Mus musculus: one gene and its partners. The protein of the gene in region 2 purifies or fractionates together with the protein of the main gene of each other region. This does not show direct contact. Links are inferred from orthologs where the notes say so. Each region holds a gene or a part of one and is shown on either strand. Other genes may lie near its edges.

What was found. The genes of interacting proteins can lie anywhere in the genome.
Region 1: the proteins of Polr3gl (region 2) and Crcp purify together in Homo sapiens (co-immunoprecipitation; 3 studies listed by BioGRID and IntAct, counting the BioPlex papers as one, with this or other methods). This does not show direct contact. The link is inferred for Mus musculus from reciprocal best matches to the Homo sapiens genes POLR3GL and CRCP.
Region 3: the proteins of Polr3gl (region 2) and Polr2f purify together in Homo sapiens (affinity purification with mass spectrometry; 3 studies listed by BioGRID and IntAct, with this or other methods). This does not show direct contact. The link is inferred for Mus musculus from reciprocal best matches to the Homo sapiens genes POLR3GL and POLR2F.

Annotation. Positions count from the first base shown.
Region 1 is NC_000071.6:130,056,507-130,060,336, reverse strand, and holds part of Crcp (DNA-directed RNA polymerase III subunit RPC9), read right to left. Parts: intron 633-3,830; coding exon 483-632; 3' UTR 1-482. UniProt on the Homo sapiens protein: DNA-dependent RNA polymerase catalyzes the transcription of DNA into RNA using the four ribonucleoside triphosphates as substrates.
Region 2 is NC_000069.6:96,577,060-96,580,794, forward strand, and holds the end of Polr3gl (DNA-directed RNA polymerase III subunit RPC7-like), read right to left. Parts: intron 3,448-3,735; coding exon 3,391-3,447; intron 3,031-3,390; coding exon 2,957-3,030; intron 2,853-2,956; coding exon 2,739-2,852; intron 1,530-2,738; coding exon 1,443-1,529; 3' UTR 813-1,442; downstream 1-812. UniProt on the Homo sapiens protein: DNA-dependent RNA polymerase catalyzes the transcription of DNA into RNA using the four ribonucleoside triphosphates as substrates. Specific peripheric component of RNA polymerase III which synthesizes small RNAs, such as 5S rRNA and tRNAs.
Region 3 is NC_000081.6:79,144,026-79,147,855, forward strand, and holds part of Polr2f (DNA-directed RNA polymerases I, II, and III subunit RPABC2), read left to right. Parts: intron 1-568; coding exon 569-638; intron 639-2,027; coding exon 2,028-2,158; intron 2,159-3,830. UniProt on the Homo sapiens protein: DNA-dependent RNA polymerase catalyzes the transcription of DNA into RNA using the four ribonucleoside triphosphates as substrates.

The DNA of each region.
Region 1 (3,830 bases), on a different chromosome or scaffold from region 2:
TGTACACCAGGCTAGGCTCAGATTGGAGTTTTCTCTTATCTCCTATTCCGCCAAGGACATTCCTCTACAGTGAGCTAAGCTCTGGGTCATTTCCCCTAGAGCAGCTGTGTGCAGCTCTGAGAGCTGGTGACCATCTGAGTCCGTTCTCCCAGCTCCATTCTACCCAGCAGTGCCTGACATTGCCTACAACAGTCATCAAAGCGCCTGACGAGCTCCCACTGTGTGCATGTGCGGCACAGGCCACACAAGCCTTTCTACCCCAGACAGCTGCAGTCCTGCTCCCCCATCTTAGCCCCTGCCCTGCTCTGACCCCAAAGCACAAAGATTTCTTTTCATCTTATTTTTGTGATTTTTTTCCCCCAACAAATCCTGAGATCAGGCATACTGAGAGAGGGGGTCAGGCCAAATAAAGAGTTCTCTGAACATCCAGGAAATGGCTGCTGCAGCTTTGAGCTTCACGAACAACTTGGCCAGCTGCACATCTATGCTGGCTCCTCCTCTTCCATAGCCACGTCATTGCTAGTGCTTTTGCTCTGTTCATCCTCTGGACCTGCAGGCAGAATGCTAGTGACAGTGTGCAGGAGGGCTTCGATCTGCTCCTCTGTGAGCCGTTCTTCACTCTCTTCTACCATCTACAAGGGAAAGGAAGCCTGTCAGGAGTTAGGAAGTGAGTCTCCCATCACAGCCCACCCGGGCCATGCAGTCCACAGCGCCAGCCCAGCACTTGGTCCTGAGCCAGCCAGGGCCTCATCTAAGATCCACAGTAGGATGACACCAGGCCAAATCCCAGACCAAGCCAGAGCAGGCACACAAAAAAGCAGATTGTCTGTCCATCCGTCCATCTATCTGTCCCTCCCTCCCTCCCCCACCCCCTCTGGAGATTGGTAGTCCTGGCTGTCCTGGAACTCACTATGTAGAGCAGGCTGGTCCAACACACAAAAATCTGCCTGCCTCTGTGTCCTCAGCGCTGGAATTAGGGTTATGTACCAACACCACGCCCAGCTTGGTTTTTTTTTTTTAATTAAGGAAAATCCTAACCTATTTCCATTCCCATCCATCCATGAATATGTTGGATGTGCAAAGAAATTCACCTTTAGGGGGTGGCAGGGCCCTAGATAAACTCGTGGACTTCACAACAAGCACCTCTGTCACTGGAGTGGTGTCGCCCAATCACTTGACGCTGCTTTCCTGAGCAGCACGGTCTCTATCCCCGGCCGATGCACAGATTCTACCTTGCCTTAGTTCTCCTTACCCTGCCACTCACCAGAACTCTGTAGGGGCCTCCTGTGGGACTGTAGGCACACTAGGAATTTTACAAGCATGACATCTTACAACTTTCACTACAATCCTAGCAAGAGGCATTCCCAGGCGGAAAGCCTCCCAGCTAACACATGCCACATTGTTTGGATCTTAAACGCCCCTCAAATGCTGTGTGTGGAAGGTTTGGTCCCCAGCCTATGGCACTACTGGGAGACGGAAGACCTGTTAATAGGTGGGGCTTAGAGGAGGATTCAGATACGGGGGTGCTGGAACCCTGGTCTTTTTTCCCTTTGCTCCTAGTTTCTCAAGATGAACAGTTCATAGCATGATCATTGTCACAGGCCCACAGCAACAGGCCATGTGTACTTGGACTGAGTCTGAAACCATGAGGCAAAATAAACCTTTCTTCTTTGTAAGCTGATTGTCTCAGGTATGTTGTTAGAGCAAGAGAGAGCCAGCTAACACATAGTCCCACTTGTCTCCGAAGAATCCAGAACAGGAGTCTGACGAGTAGGAAAAGAGAAGCTGAAGAGAAGACAGCTCAGTGCTTAAGAGCACTGGTTGCTGTTGCAGAGGACCTGGGTGGGGTTCCCAGAACCAATAACAGCTCCTAACCACCTGCAACTCCAGTTCCAAGGAATCCAACAGCCTCCTCTGGCCTCTGCAGGCCACATGTACACTCATGCAGACACACACACAAGACACAGGTACACATACACATAAATAGAAAATACTCTTTATAATTTTTAATTTATTTGTATTTTAATTAATTAACTTATTTAATTTTATTTTAATTTATGTGTATGAGCATTTTGCCTACATGTGTACTACTTGTGTGTCTGATGCCTCCTAAGACCAGAAGAGCATATCAGATTCCTTACAACTGAAGTTAAAGATAGTTGTGAGCCACATGAGTGCTGGGAAAGCATGAGTGCCGGCACTCTAGCAACTGAGCTACATCTTTAGCCCAAGTAAAACCTCTTCACTGAACGAGAGCCAATTTTTAGAAGGAATGGCTGGAAGGGGCAGCAGGAGACCAAGTCCCAAGGGGACCATCCCTCCTGGCACACCCCCATTCCTTTGTGTCCCCCCACAGACATGCTATCTACCAGGGACCCCACAGCCACTACACTTGGCTAGGTCAAAGACTAGAGCAACGGTAACTAAGAACAGAACACCCACAAGACAAAGGCAAGACCCAATATCTACACCAAGAAGCATCGGCAGCGACATGACTCCATATACATGAACAACCAAGACAATGTGCCTCCTCCCGAAGGCAGCAACAGGTCTAGGGAAAGCAATGTCACTGAAGCACAAGACAAAGACTTCAGAACAAGGATAAATATGTTCAAGGCCCTTAAAGAGGATGTGAATTAATGTCTTAGTGAAGACCGTGAGAACACCCAGGTGACTGAAGTAATGACAACAATGTGGGATGTGGAAGTGGAATTTAATAAACAGATCCCTAGAGAGAAGCCAGACTCAAATAAAACCCAAAGCAAAAACTCAGGAAGTAAGCTGGGCGTGGTGGTGCACGCCTTTAATCCCAGCACTCGGGAGGCAGAGGCAGGTGGATTTCTGAGTTCGAGGCCACCCTGGTCTACAGAGTGAGTTCCAGGACAGCCAGGGCTACACAGAGAAACCCTGTCTCAAAAACCCAAAAAGACATGGAGACAGAGTTTCAGGTTTTGAAGACAAGATAAAAGAAATGGGTAGCTCAATCAAAAAAGTTAAATCTAAAAAAATTTTTAATTTAAAATCTAGGCATTAAACATCCAGGAAATCTGGAACATTATGAAACCCAAAATCTACAAATAATAAGTATAAAGGCCCAGAAAATTATTTTAACAAAATTATAGAAGAAAAATTCCCCAGTCTAAAGAAAGAGACACCTATCAGGTACAAAAGGCATACAGAACAAAGAAAGGATATTGAAAGCTGTGAGGGAAAAGACCAAGTTCCATATAAGGGCAAACCCATAAGAACGTCCCATTCCATATTTCAAGTTGTATTACAGTTATAACAATAAAAACAGGCTGGGGACATGGCTCAGCGGTTAAGAGCACTGGTTGCTCTTCCAGAGGTCCTGAGTTCAATTCCCAGCAACCACATGGTGGCTCCCAACCATCTATAATAAGATCTGGTGCCCTGTTCTGGCATGGAGGCAGAACACTGTATACATAATAAATCTTTTTTTAAAAAACGAACAAACAAACAAACAAACAAACAACACTGTGATTCAGAAGTATATCTTTAAAAAACATGTCAAAAGAAAGTATGTCTTTAAAAAAACCAGCATGGTATTGACATAAAAACATACATGCTCATCAATGACACTGAACTGAAGATGCAGACATAATTCCAAATATCAACAGACACCTGGTTTTTGACAAACAAGCCAAAAATATACACTTCATTTTCAACAAATGGCTCTGGTCAAACTGGAGAGTTGCATGTAGAAGAATGAAAATAGATCCATACCTACCACCTTGCACAAAACTCAGCTCTACATGGGATCAGTTACAGACCTCAACATAAGACCAGATACCCTTGCAGGGCAGTGGTGG
Region 2 (3,735 bases):
GCTAACTTAATTCCACAAAGGAAAGAACAACAAAAAAGAAGGAGCTGCAAGCCACACCCCGGCTGTCTGTAGAGAACAGTATATTTAGGGAGATCCTAAATATGCCTTTCAAAGTGGGCTCTCCAGGTCCTGGAAGACGGTAAGCTGAAAGCAGTGAGTCACTCCTCTCTCCCGGCCCCTGGCTTTCTGGACTCCCTGCACAAAAATAGCTGCAATCACTCTTTGTAAATAAGGACACCATCAAGGTCAAGTGTGAGAAAGGAGAGGGCTGGTGTCCTGGTAAATGTGCCTGACTATGCAGGCTCATGTCCCTGTGCTGCTGGAGGCCAAAGGCTAGGGTAGTCTGTGGGCGAGCCTATGCTTTCCCCAGCGCTGCTTTCAGACAGCATTGCAGATGAGTTCCTGAATGTCCTCCAAGGGAGAGCTGAGAAGTAAAGGTCAAGGGTCAAGGCGGTCACACACACACACACACACACCCGTGTCACACTGGACACGCAGAGATTTGACACTGGTGGCACAGACCTGGGACCACAGCTAGGGAGGCTGAGACAGTTTCAGGCCTGTTTGGGCTACAGGGTTAAGTTCAAAGCCAACTTAGGCAACTTAGCAAAAGCTCTGCCTAAAAATTCTAAAGCAAATATATAAAAAGAGATGGGGGCATGGCTGAGTGATGGAACACCCGTTTAGCATTTGCATGGCTGTAAATTCAGTCCTCTGAAAGGGGGCGTGGCAGGGGTAAGAATGGCTTGACTGGACACCCCCTCAGCCTTGCCTCCGGCCCTTTCCCAGTACACATCACTCTGTTAGACATGTTAGACAGATACAAACATTTTATTTAAAAGTACAAAACAGGCCTTACTCCTCTTGACTGTTCCCACCCCAAGTCTCCCCTAAACTGTCAACGGCTGCGCATCACAGCCCCCAGGGATCACACAGGTCACCTGGATTCTAACCAATTTTTTCTCAACAGAAGTAAATGCTAGTAAGTCTGCTGTGGTGGCGCGTCCCTGTAATCCCAAGGCTTGGGGGGGTGGGGGGGGGTCCAAAATTCAAGGCCAGCCTCAGCTACATACCGAGTTCCAGGCCAGCTTGAGCTACATGAGATCTTCTCTCAAAAAACAATAACAAAGCTGGGCATGGTGGCGAATGCCTTTAATCCCAGCACTTGGGAGGCAGAGGCAGAGGCAGAGGCAGGCGGATTTCTGAGTTTGAGGCCAGCCTGGTCTACAGAGTGAGTTCCAGGACAGCCAGGGCTACACAGAGAAACCTGTCTGGAAAAAACAAACCAAGCCAACCAACCAAAACAAAACAAAACAAATAACAAAAATAGGAAAACCCCTAAGTACATAGGGATATTTAGTTCCTGTATCTCAAATCAAGAATGATATATGGGCCCAGGTTTTCAGTCTATGGCCCAGGTTTTCAGTCTATGCCCAGGTTTTTCAGTATATGGCCTCATCCATATTGTCATCGCTGTCCCCTCCAAAGTCCTCTCCATTGTCAAAATATGACATGATGTAATCAGTTTCCTGAAATGTAAAAAGAAGCAAAGATCAGGGGTGATGTCAGAGTTTTCTTCTCTTTGTCTCCAGGCTCTTTCTTCTCACACACACCTTTCCAGGTCTGGGACACCTCTACCTGCTGTTACATTCATTCCTTTTCATGCGTATAGGTGCTTTGACTGCATGTATGTGTATACTGCTTTCGTGCTAGAACCCTCGGAGGCCAGACAATGGCGTCAGATGCCCGGGAACTGGAGTCACCGGTTGTTGTGAGCCACCATGTGGATGCTGAGAGTGGAGCTCGAGTCCTATGGAAGAGCAGCATGCGCTCTTAACCAAGAGTCGTCACTCCTGCTCCATGTTATACAAGTTAAAGTATTTGTTTGCCTGTATATGTATGTTATATGTGTGTGTCCAAGTGTGCCCTGGTGCACATGTGGAAGTCAGGGGACAACTTGCAGGGGTCAGTCCTTCCACTCTGTGGGTTCTGGGGACTGCACTCAGGTCATCAGGCTTGGTAGCAAGCCCCTTTGCCCTCTGAGCCATATCACCCGCCATGTTCCGTGTTTTGAGGATAGGTCAGGGATAGATGAACTGGAGAAAGGCTTTTGGTGGCACTGCAACTCTCTGAGAATGTCTCCCGTGTAAGGGTTGAGAGCCCAGGGTTAGTGAGATGGCTCAGTACAAAAGGCCTTTGTTGTTAAGCCAGAGGACCTGTGGTCAATAACCAGACCCCACACGGGAAAAGAGAGAGCCAACTCTTGCAAGTTGTCTTCTGACCTCCACACATTTCACACACACACACACACACACACACTCATGCACACATGTAATAAAAGATGGCTTGGATGTTAAAGGCCTTTGTTGCTCTTTCGGAGTTCAGATAACTTGGGCAGCTCACACCTGCTTGTAACGCCCAGCTTCAGGGGTTTGGAGACCCTCTTCAGGCCTCCTCAGGCACCAGAACACGCTTGGTATGCAATCATACAGAGTCTTGTATGCTAAGTCTGGAGGCAGACTCATATGTAACCCCAACAGCAGGAAATAGAAGCAGGGGGGCTTCTGGGGAGTTCCTGGCCAGCCTGGCTTGCATAATGGAGACCCTGTCTCAAAACCAAAACCAAAAATAAAACAACAACAAGAAATCTTGAAAAGAAAAAAAAAAAAAGAGTTGTGAGCCTACAACTTGTAAGGGAGAAAGGAGGGGTGGGGTGGGGAGGAGCAAAGCCCCCTCACCTCCTCATGCTCCTCTTCATCGTATTCCTCTTCCTCCCCCTCTTCCTTCTCCTCCTCTTCTTCTTTCTCTTCATCCTCCTCCGAAGTCACTTCCTCCTCCTTCTTCTCTAGCGTCTCATGTGAGGATGAATAGGAAGAGAAACTCACTCACAGAATGCAGGGAGAGCTGGGGCTCCAAGGGACCGGGAGGCCAGCTGTCTATCGCACTTCCTCCTCACCTCTAGTTTCTGTATCGTCTCCTCCTTATCGTCTGTGCTCTTAGGGGGCCTCTTGGGAAGGATAATGGTGGTCCCTGTTTGGAGGATCAAAAAGTGAGAGGCCTTAGTACATCTACTAGCTTTCTTTCGGGGTTTTAAATTTGGGGTGTGTGTGTGTCTGTGTGTGTGTGTACGTGTGTGTGTGACACACACGCGGAAGTTAGAATGAGTTCTTCCTTCCAACAGTGGGTCCTGTGGATTGGTGGCTGGCATCTCTTATCAGCTGAGCCATCTCTCCCTCCATCCTAGCTGAGCCTACTCCACCCTCTTGCAGCAAACACGGCACTCTGCTGCCCTCGTGTGGTCTCCGGCAGCAAAATGTGGCGGTCTGCTGCCCTCCTGTGGTCCCCGTGGCACCGGCTGACAAGCCCTCATCCTCCTGCAGATCCACTCACGCTCCTTCTGTACTTTCCGCACTCGAATCTTGAGCTCACTGGGGAGTCGCCGCCAATCTGGGAAGAGTGGGAGTGAAAATCAGCAGGACCCTGGCCGGCTGGAGGCTTCTGGGAGTGATGGCTGGCGCTAAGGGGGAGGGGAGTGTTTAAAAGGAAGGACGGAATGGGGGTTGGTTTGAAGATTTTTCAGAATAAAATTGTAGGTTTGACGCTTCTGGAGAGGTGGGCACTGTTGTTACAAATAGGGTTTCCACGTAGAACGCGAGAGTGTTGCAGAGCACATCTAAGACTCTAGATTTAGATGTACAGGAAAGGAAGGTGACAGTTTGAGGTACCTAAAGAATC
Region 3 (3,830 bases), on a different chromosome or scaffold from region 2:
AAAATCTCACTATGTAGCCCAGGCTGGGCTCAAACTCCTAGTTCTCTCACTTCCCATTTCCAAATGCTAGGAGTACAGGAGTGTGCTACCACCCTGGCACGTTTATATTTCTCTCCTTATGTCCTTATGAGAGGCTGAAACTGTCTTCATGACGAGGGGGATGGCGCAGAGGTTAACCACACTTGGCTGGTTTCCCAGGGAGTAAAACCAGGCAGACAACTCCGGCTTCGGGGGCTCCCACACCCTCTTCTGGCTTCCAGGCGCACTTGTATGTGTGTACATTTACATACACAAACACACAGATAAAATAAACCTTAAACACACAGTCCCCGGACCAGAACAGTCCATGTGTACATGTAACTGGCGTGGTTCACAGAGAAGGAAACCACAGTGAAGGTGTCCTAGCAAACTGTGGGGACACATGGCACATGATTGGAGGCACAGAGTGACCCTCCAGAGTTTGGTTCCCTTGTTGAGATTTGCCGGCCCCTTGTCCGACACTGCTGAGACATGGGCTGTATCTCTGGTTCTGGCCGGTGATGCTCTAACCACCAGTTTCTTCTGGCAGTTTCGACGGCGACGACTTTGATGACGTTGAGGAGGACGAAGGACTTGACGACTTGGAAAATGCTGAGGAGGTCAGTAGCCAGCCTCGGCCTCTGCCCTGCAGCCCGGACAAGGGACGGGCAGCGTTCACCAAGGGCTTTCCCTGTTCACTTTCCAGGAATGCAATTCCATGGATCTGCTCCGGGCCTTTGTCTGAGTGCCACCTCAACTAGGTCTTGGGATAATCGTGTCGTCTTATGTATGGTTTGGTGGTGGTGGATCTTAGTATAGAGCCTGGAACTTACTATTTAAGCCAGACTGGCTTGTAGCTCACGAGAAATCAGCCTTCCTCTGCCACCTGAGTGCTAGGATTAAAGGCACAGGTAGAAGTAACTTTGGTCCGTTTTATTCACTACTGTATCCTAAATACGGTTCAGCATGTAGTAAGCACACAGCAAACAATTACTTTTTTTTTTTTATGTATTTTTATGCATGTGCACGTGTGCTGTATGCAGGCGCACTTACCTGTGCAATGCATGTGGAGGTCAGAGGTCATCCTCTCTCCTTCTCCATCTTATTTTTCAAGACAGGGTCTCTCTAAACTTGAGGCTCAGTGCTTCAATTAGGCTGTCAGCCAGCAAGCCCCAGAAACCCTTCTGACTCTACCACTAGTTCTGTGGCTATGCCTGTAGCACACTGCTACAGACCCAGACTTCTACATGGAGGCTAAGACCCAAATTTAGGTTCTCCAGTTTAGGTAGCAAGCAGGTTACTCTATGAGGCAAACCCTAACCCTTAAGTCTTGGTTTTAGAATCATGTAAACGGATCATGAGCTGCGCAGTTCTCTGGCAGCCGCCATTGCTATCAGAAACTCTTTGCTTTGTGTCAGATCACCATTATTCCTGTGTGCGTTTGTGCATGCGTGCTGCAGGGGATGAAACCCATGGTCTCGTGTGTTCTCTCTCTCTCTCTCTCTCTCTCTCTCTCTCTCTCTCTCTCTCTCTCTCTCTCTCTCTCTCTCTCTCTCGCCTAAATAGAGCAGAGGACAGCAGGTTCTTGCTCAGTATGTGTTTGACTCTCATTTACCATGACTGTTCTAGTCACCTGACCCAGTGACTCATTTGCCATATGAAAGAGCAGGTGTTTGTCCTGAGCTTCCGGTTCAGGGTGTGCTCACCACTTACAGGGCCAGCTGTTTGGGCAAGGCGGCTGGCTCTAGAGTTCTGAACACCGTCATCTTTACTGCTAGCTTGGAGGTTTTGGTCAGGTTGGCTGACTCTTGAAGCCCCTGGATTGGGGACCACAATCCTTACCTTACAAGGTTGCATGCGGTTAAGGATTGCGTGGTGTCAGTGAGTGGTTGCACGGTCCATGACATCCAGAAAGGGTTGAGGGTGGTGGGAAGTCTCTGTGTCATCATCGTCCTACCTGATCCAAAACTTGCCCTGAGATTTCCCCTCTTTGTTTGCTTGCTATCCAGGAGGGCCAGGAAAATGTCGAGATTCTCCCATCTGGTGAGCGACCACAGGCCAACCAGAAGCGGATCACCACTCCTTACATGACCAAGTATGAGCGGGCCCGGGTGCTGGGCACCCGGGCTCTTCAGATCGCGTAAGTGCTGCCCTTTGGCCGTCGTGTCTGTCAGTTCACCACAGTGAGCCCAAGCTGCTGGTCCTGCCCAGCCCTGGTGTGTCAGGACTTGTGCAGTGCTTTAGGGCACCTGTGGGAAAATGTAAGAAGTGACATGAGAAGTGACAGTAAGAACCCTGGTCAGCCGGGCGTGGTGGCGCACGCCTTTAATCCCAGCACTCGGGAGGCAGGGGCAGGCGGGTTTCTGAGTTCAAGGCCAGCCTGGTCTACAAAGTGAGTTTTAGGACAGCCAGGGCTATACAGAGAAACCGTGTCTCGAAAAACAAAAAACAAACAACAACAAAACAAACAAACAAAAAAGACACAGGAGGATCATGGGTTCACGGGCCTACCTGGACTACCGAGTGAGTTCTAGGCTAGTCTGGGCAACTAGCAAGACGCTGCCCCAAGATAAAGAATGAAAAGAGGTCTGGGGTGGAGCCCAGTACATGTGATTACCTGAGTTCAGAGAATTCCTGTCAGTTGGTCAAACAAAATAAGAGTGAATTCAGGCAAGGCTGCAACAGCTCCTTCTAGCTTACGCTGATGGGAGGGAGGCTGGCCAGCCCAGCCCAGTAAGCAGGCCCCTCACTTGGGAAAGTCTGGAGCAACGGTGGCTCTGGGCGCTAGGAAACTGAAGAGCATGTTGTTTTTCTAAATTTGGATGGCCGGCCAGTGAGCTCAGCCCATCCAGAGGAGGCAGGGTGTTAGTGGAACTCTAGTGGGAGACCCAAGCCTAAGGGAAACTGTTGGTATGGGGCGCGTGGGTGCTGCAGGATGGACTAGGGAGAAGGAAAAACACAGCAACAGCAGAACATTCTCCCATGGGGCTGGGGAGGCCTGCATAGGGCTGTGAGCATCCCTACCACGGGTTCATACAGCCCTGGGTAAAGTTGACTGCAGTGTCTGCCTCGGTAAAGGGTCTTATGTACAGTCAAGGTTGACCTCAGCCATCCTCAGCTATAGACCTTTCTTCAGCCTGGCTGCACTCTTGGCTCCTTGAGTAAAGCCACCTTCAGGGGGATATGTGGTCCTAGTGGCCTAAGGATAGTCTCTGTTATGGCACTCATTGGCTACATGTGGCCATTAAATCAGCCCTGTGAGGCAGTGCACACCTTTAACCCCAGCACTCAGGAACCAGAGGTGTGTTGATCTCTGTGACTCCAAGGCCAACCTGGTCTACATAAGGAGTTCCAGGAGAGCCTTGACTACACAGTGAGGCACCATCTCAAAAACAATAACAGTAAACCCCAAACAACCACCACTACAACAAAAAACACCTACCCAAACAAAGGAAAAGAAAGCACGCACACATACATACACACACACACCAATACTAGAGATACCTCAGATGCTCAGGGGCCTGTCTGTGGCTCCCAGTTAGCACGGGGACATCACAGGTACAAGACATTTCCAGTTTGCTGAGTGTTCTGGGACACATGTTCCTTTAGCTAAGATTGCCCTGTAGCAGGAAGCCTTCATTGTGCAAATCTAGCAGTGCTCACCACTGCACCTGTCGAGGATGCAGAGGTGATGAAGACATCACCTCTAGCTCCCCAGGGAGCTTCTGATGTAAAGGCAGTGTGGGCAGTGCCCTGCAAAGGATACAGAAAAGCAGGCGCCTCGCGGAGGGGCTAGAGCTAGGAGGCAGATG